Linked DNA regions of Caenorhabditis elegans. The protein of the gene in region 2 interacts with the protein of the main gene of each other region in a pairwise test. Each region holds a gene or a part of one and is shown on either strand. Other genes may lie near its edges.

The links.
Region 1: the proteins of F13H8.6 (region 2) and rgs-2 interact in a two-hybrid assay, tested with the Caenorhabditis elegans proteins (one large-scale study listed by BioGRID).

Annotation. Positions count from the first base shown.
Region 1 is NC_003284.9:12,710,443-12,714,371, reverse strand, and holds the start of rgs-2 (RGS domain-containing protein), read right to left. Parts: upstream 1,720-3,929; 5' UTR 1,712-1,719; coding exon 1,629-1,711; intron 1-1,628. UniProt on the Caenorhabditis elegans protein: Weakly inhibits G protein signaling in nervous system, interacting preferentially with the G(O) subfamily member goa-1. In vitro, it acts as a GTPase activator of goa-1.
Region 2 is NC_003280.10:6,285,073-6,289,001, forward strand, and holds the start of F13H8.6 (DUF4238 domain-containing protein), read right to left. Parts: upstream 1,894-3,929; 5' UTR 1,798-1,893; coding exon 1,616-1,797; intron 866-1,615; coding exon 802-865; intron 669-801; coding exon 441-668; intron 392-440; coding exon 275-391; intron 224-274; coding exon 96-223; intron 47-95; coding exon 1-46. Other genes in the region: upb-1 (Beta-ureidopropionase), read right to left, coding at 3,439-3,612, 3,727-3,919.

The DNA.
Region 1 (3,929 bases), on a different chromosome or scaffold from region 2:
TTTTCTTCTTCCGAAGCTGCAATTACAGCAAGAATGTTGGTCATGTCATCAAATCTACATGATCGCTTCTCTTCTAATGACTGGGTGGAGAAGTTGGAGAGCCAGCGCTTTCTTACTTGCAAATGTAGTCAACAATGAAAATGAGAAAGATAAAACGCAGAATAGAACTCAGTTACCATTGACGTATGCAAGGATGACTGTCTAGGATATGACACCTGTTTCAGAAGACTTTGTCAGGGCAACTTGGCTTAGATTCATTTTATTTATTTATCTATGTAGATGATTGTTGTATGAATTTGAATCCTCATATCGAAATTGTCTAACTATCAGAGAAGATTTTGCAAAGCCTTCTGTATCACTGTTGTTTCAGTTATAAATTTTGGAATCCTTGACGCAGCCATACGGGGAGTATGACAAACCTCTAATTTAGATTTCTCTAGCAACCACCTATCCTATAATTACTTATGAATGTGTATTTTGGCGCAGCATGCTGCTGCGCCTAACTTGAAATAAATGACTATCAGAAGGCAACAGCGTCGGGAATGGGCAGTGAATTACGAAGCTCTCCTTTGATTGATAACAAACATGGTATAATTGTATATATTCGCAACTTTTTGAATTTCCAAATTACTACCCTATGGTCTCGATCAGTGCTGCGCTCCATTGCTCCATTTTGGAAAGATATACTTCGGTCCATTTTGAAGATATCATTAAGCAGTTAATTAGGCAACTATAGAAAAATAATTGAGCATTATTTATTCTGTTTTTGTTGTATTATAAAAAAGAAGAGAACCATAATATGAGCAGCAAAGTTTAGCAATAAAGTGCAGCACTAATAAAGAGTATTTGGGCAAGCTGAACTTGCCACTCATTTGCTTTCTTTTCATTTTTGAAAAATACAATTTGAAGTATACACGGCATTAGTTAATATTACAATAATCACAATGTTATGCGGTTTTTTCAAAGTTTTTAATTTTTAACCTTTTGTTGTTAATTTTTTGAAGTGTTGCATTACAACTGTCGTTAATTTTTTGGCTGTTGACTAGAGAAATAATGGAATATTTGTCCTTGTCACGTAACATTTGGTTAATCGAATACATTTTCTTTTCCGTCTCCTGTCCTCTCATTCTCATTTCAATTTCCATCCGCTTCTTCTACTGCTACTCTTCATTATTTCCTCATGTGAGGAAGGCAAGTGAGCTACTGAGCACGCCTGAGCATACGCACTTTTTTCTTGCAGTGAATCAGATTTAATGAGAACTGCATGATTGGAGACGGAATAAAAAGAAAAAAAAAGAGGTCGGAGCAAACATAAAGGGGAGACATAGTTTTTTATAATATTTCGCAAAGTTCACGTTGCGGAACGAAATTGAGGGACCATAAAAAGAATGAAATTAATTTGAACTTTTGATTCTGAAGTGTGTTTCTAAAGGTTTTAATTTATCACCTAAGTTTTTCTCTTTGGGGCTAATTACTGCTTAATTAACATTCTCTGACACAGAATTAACATAGAAAATGCTATATAAATCTTGTTGTCTTAAAAAAACAAGCTTATACAAGTGTCAAATTAACGAAAATTTGGTTATGACCTACTCAAACAATTAAATTCAACGCAAAACTCAACTAACCTGACATACGGTTTACCGCTTGGTGAAGAATTGTGAGTGACACAAACGATGATTTTTCCAAAACAACTTATTGCACATGACATGTTTGCCTCTGAAAGTTTATCCGGTAAAATAAACTTCAAACAAAACATGAATTTAAAGGAAGAAAAAAGTTCAAAAAGGAAAAAGTTTAGAAAATGAATAGAACCTCATTGAAGAAAAAACCTTGATGAGAAGAAGAGGATGGGACACTTGTGGCTGTGGCGGAATATATCGATGCCTCGCGGACACACGCATACATAATACTAGAACCACTTCTTTCTTTTTTCTTTCCCTTTTCCCTTCATTCTCTCACTATATTTAATGAATATATGGATGATGAGTGAAAATTCAAAAGATACTGGGGCCACTGACGCTCTGGAGGTCTCGTGTCATGCGATCCGTTTGACATTTGGCAAAAGAACAACTTTTTCAGATTTTCAAGTGTTGAAAGTTAAAACTATTATAAAAACACAATTTGGATTTAGTATATATTTTTTTAATTTGCTTAGATTAAACAACTGTAATGTTTCAATTTAAAAATGGATCACCCCTGCTTTAGCACATTACTTTTGTAAAATTAAAATTCCTTAATTATTAACAAAAAAATTAGCAACATTTTACAAATCTCTACATTTCAGGAAGAAACTGAAAATTTTCACTTTTTTTTCAAAGCAAATATACAAAAAAACCAGAATAGTTTCCAAAAACATTTTGTCATGTGTGAAACCGTTTAAGGCGATTGCGAATGAAAGTGTGTGGGATGGAATATGATTATTGTTGCATAAAATATGTTGTTCTGATTTCCCATTCCAGAAATATGTAAACATAAATATTAAACTTTTACTGCGGAAATTTAAGACAAAGTTATTCGAAATTATAGGATTTTCCTACTACTAGATTCCACATTACTTCCAAATCAAAAAAATTAGCATAAAAACAAGATTTTAATTGTTTTAATTAATTTATTATTTTTATGAGAAAACATGTTAGCCCTTTTGTCAAGTTTGACCACAGCTACAAAGTTTAAAAAAACACAACATGTTTGGGCACTTGAAACAAAACCAATTGGTTTGTTGGCTTTCCACACAAGAGAAGAAAAAAAAGCAAAAAAAAAACTGAGAAAGTCAGTTTTTTGTTAGTTTATACGTTTTTTCAATGTTCACTTAAACACCTAAAAGCAAATGTTAAAATGAAAAACATACTTTCCAAATTAGCATTTCACTGAAGACCAAAATACTTGCATTCAATTTATAAATTGAGCTAGCACACCACATTTCACGGATGCAGTCTAATGGGTTGTGGTTTTTGGCACTAATGTATAGGAAATCATCCAATTGAAACGAATTTAGGGCTGGAACTGTTAAGTTTTCAATTTGAATACGTTGAACAATTTAATAATGTCAATAAAAAAAATTGGTGGAAATTTGAGTACAGAACACCTAGTGTTCCTAGTGTTTACAGTAACCCTACAGTACTCTCACGTACTAATCATTCTTATTTTCAAACAGCTAATGAATCTTTCTGATGTTAAAAATTACTTCACTGAACATTTTCCACAGAATCAGTTGTTTTTCGAACCATCTCAAATGCTCCGCAAAAAAATGAACTTTTATTCTCAAATCACCTACGCAATTAATATGTACTGGATTTTGCAACGACATGAAAAAAAAATACGAGGGCAATATTGACATTTGAATGAACAATGCTAAACAATAATAGTGGATCAAAAAAGATTTGATCACTGATCCCTCGATGAAATTGGATATGAGAATGGTATGTTTAATTGAATTGAAAAACTTCTAAGCGATCAATGTAAGAAAAACAGTGCCTGGAACGAGGGTTAGCGAACATTTGTTATAGGATCTTTGAAAATACGTTCATTTGGTAGTGCGAAAGGGATTTATACCTTTTTTTTTTCGGCTCTTTATTTTACTTCGGTGATATTATTTTTACAATAAAGTTGATTAAAAAATATTTAGGAGTATGTTTTTTTTTTGAAAGATAAATCAAGGCCGACATTTTAACTAAACCATTGTAAAACTGTTTTCTGTTTTTGAGCACAAAATAATTAGGTTGCCTCGTGCACTTTAACTTAAGAATCACTTCTCTTCGTAACCTTTTTTTCCCACAACTTTTCTTTACCACAAACATTGTCTTATGTTTTTGCAAGATTCACGAGTGCCGAGATGTGTGCGTGTATGGGGGGAAAAAGCTAATTTCACATGCAAACCACGCTGCTCATGACTCATTTGCCACCTCTTTTTAGGTCCTGGAGCCACG
Region 2 (3,929 bases):
TTTCATTAAATGATGTAATGCCTTTCCTGGCTCCAACTCGTAGTAACTGAAAATGATAAAAGTCTAATACTGAAAATAATTTGTAAAAATCATACTCCACGTTATACTGAGCCGCTACAAAGTATGCCCATTGGCGATTTTTACTGTAGATGACAACTTTTTGAGATATTTTACGAGCGTTCTCAATGAACAAGTTGACGTTGTCAAACTTTGCAGAGAGGTTCTGAATAAAAAATATTTTGAATATCTTCTGTTTAGAAGCTCAAAATGTTACCTTAAACGGTTGAACTGGATCCACATCAGTTTCATGAAACAAAGTGAGAGGAATCATTACAAGATGCCCATCCCGTCTAGTGACACTTACAGCCAGTGGCAAATCGTTTCCGAGACTCTGAAAATAAAATAGTTTAATTCTAAAATAAAGGCCTTAAATTTCTTACAACGACATGACTTATTCCAGCAGATGCCAACTCATCTCTGTCCAATAACTCTCGATTATCCGTAATGTACATGTACTCTGCTATTTTTATGAATCCAGCCAATATCTTTGATTGATCCGTTTCTGGTTTGATATAAGGAACAATTTCTCCTTTTCCATTAATCTCACTCAAAGTTATCGCGTTTAAATCGTTTTCCATTGATTGTTCGAGGGATCTGACTTGGATCAGCTGCAAATTTCTCAACGCATTTTAATAACTTCATAAGCAGTTTTAAAAAAACCGCTGTCATTTTTTTTCTCTTACTGCATTTTTATTTTTTCATAATGTTGTACCAGTTATAGCCAAAGATTAAATTACCTACATTTGAAACGTTCCCGAGGCCTGGAATAGAGACGATTGAATTGTTTGAGCCTGTTGAATTTGTTCTGAAATTATTTTCAATGAGTACTGGCGTTTTTATCATATTTATGGGACGCGTTTAAAAATTTATTCGTCACAATTTTCAACTTTTGAACTTCACATTTATTTTTAAACACTGCCATAATTTATGCAAAAAATTACTGTGCCTCTATATCTATAATTACGGGAAGTAATCATTAGATGAGAGTTTTATTATTAGAAAAACTTAAATTATATATTGGACAATATGAAAAAAAACGAGATACGTAGAATGTTTTAGTAGAAACAAATCGAGTGAAGAATATGTTTCAAAGTGTGTTGGCATGTACATTTTCCCCCGTTGCTAAACACTTTCCATGGGAACTTTTCCTATAAAAAACGCACACAAGAGACTCACAGAAAAAGCATGGAAATTGAAAAAAACTTAAGTTATAATTTTCAAGACTATTCATGCAAATAACTTTTTAGATTGAATTGAAATTTTTAAAACCTATTGAAACAGGGTTTTACATGAAAATGAATGTCGTGTGGTTGAAACACATTTTGAACAAAACTCAAATAACTTTAGAGTGTTGATTAGATGTGCTTTAGTTTTTTGAAAATTAATTAAACAGAAGTCTAACGGTGAAAAATTATTTCTACAACACGACTACAGGCTTTTGAAGTTATATATATTCTTTCTAAACGCTGAGCAATACGTTTGTTTTTGATTATTTAAAGTTTATAAATTTGAAAAAAAAACACCAAACTATCATGAAAAATTTCTTAAAACTTACTGAGAAGAATACATAAGCGGAATAGAACTATCACCGTCAATAGGAATCGGTCCATAGCTGTTGGTTGTAGCAGAACGGGCAAAATGAGATCGACGACGAAGTGTTGATTGATTGATAACAGCAGCAGCAGAATTGAGCATCTTGCCAAAACGAAATCTTGCACGACGAGATATGCTGTCCATTATTTGAATTTAAGCAAGTTATAAATATGAAGAAAAAGAATTTAAGAAAGGGAGCTCTGTGCAGAGCATATATAAAGTAAGGCAAACTGGTAATTTGAATGAGAATTCGAGAAAAAAGAAGAATAATGCACAAAAAGTAGGAAGGAGGAGCCAAGTTGCCTCGAGCCACCAGAGATATCAAAAATGTGTTTAAGAACTTCTTAATTGTAAAGATATGAGTTTAAGAACTTCTTAATTGTAAAGATATGAATATGAATGATTTGTGAAACAACTGAAAACATCAAACAATACAAGTTGTAGTAATCAGATGGAAATTTACACTGGGGATCTGCCACAGCACCATGAAAATAGTAGTGTCTGATACTATACAAAACGGAAAAAACAAAAAAAAATTGGGTTCAATGAAACCATAATTCTAGACACCTCGATTGAATACAAAATGAATACAATAAAGTCGGAAATAAAAAGTAGCCTAATCTACAACTGTAAATTGAAAGATTTGAAATCGCTAAAAGAAAAATGAATTTCTGAATTATGGAATTATGGAAAAAAAATCTGTTGAACAAAACAAAAGTACTAAATATTCTTCATTTCCATAATAGTTAAATTTAGTTTATGAGTGAGTTAGTCACACAACATTTCAAAATCCAAATTTTTATTTCATTTTAACTGTTGCTCATTGTGAACAAATATGTCTACTTCCTTAGATTTGACAGGGCGACCTTAAAAAAGGGACGATCCGTTCTATAGACTGCGGATCTGGGAGTCAGGTACATTGCCTGGTGGTACCTCACTGGGCTATAATTCAAGTCATGCTCTAGCCTGGGACTGTAACCGGTAATCCAGTCGTGGATTACTCCACTTCCCAATAAAGACAGAGTGAACATAGATGTTTTTAAACACTAAAATCTTACGAACATCTTCATTATAAAAAATCGTATTTTTAATTGGTCAAGCCGTTCCGCTTGCTGAGTTTCTCTCAATTTTCATGAAAAACAGTCATCTTATAATAATTGATATTTTACTTAAAAATTGTAGATAAACGCATTTTTCTTGGATGAACGGCAATCAGAGTAGTCTGGTATGGGACAAAAATTAACAATACCGCATACAAAATCTCAAAATACAAAACAAAACCTTTAAAGTAGTATCTAATAGTTATTCAAAAGTAGTACGAAAATTCCAAAATAATTTTGGTTTACTGCGAACTAGGAAAAATTCTCAAGAAGAAGGGAAAATAACATGAGATGGGCGGTTATCAGAAACTAGTGATTATAATATTGGTGCCTAGTTTCTCTATATGTTGCCTCAGTAACGACAGCAAAAATATTATCACTAGAATAAATATCTTATCAAATATCTAAAGAAAACTTCTTTTAAAAAGCAAAAGAGCTGAAGTATATATCACCTAACTAGTAAGTAAGTTTATAAAGCTTCAGTCTTCCACATGATTGCTTCTTTTAAAGTTTATCAAGTACAACAAGTTGAGTCATCTCCCTCTTCTGATCTACTACTATTCACCTCATTAGTTCAAATCATGAGCTAAATTGAATTACATTTATTTACGATTCAAATAATAATCAGGTGATAGAAAACAAAGAAAAATCATCCATAAATTGAAATGTCAACAACAAAACTGATTCATTGCTCTCTTCTGATGTCTGGACGATAGTCCGGGTTGGAAACTTCCGTAATCTTTTGAGCGTACATGTCGAGACGGTTTGTCATTCTGAATCCCCAAGCATCCTTGCATTGACGACACAGATTTAAGTCGAGTTCAGCAATGAGAACTCCCTCACGAACACGAGATAATGCCTGAAAAAAATATGTATCAGATTTGTTCAAGCTATTTTTTTTTAAAAGAGAGAAACAGTTATAAAAATTTTTGAGCAGTTACTCATTGTTGAAGTTTAACCTCAATAAACTCACTGGAGTACGGCTACCATCAGGAGCAGCAATATAACTGGATCCATAAAAGTGACCGAAGTCTTTGTGCGCTGGTTGCCCATTTCCACTGGTAAATTCATTTGGGAAGACTTCAGTGCCCACGCGGTTAATTCCAACTGTGAAGACGTGATTGGCAATGGCAGCATTTCGTGCTTCGATACCCCAGAGTGGTTCACTAAATTTCC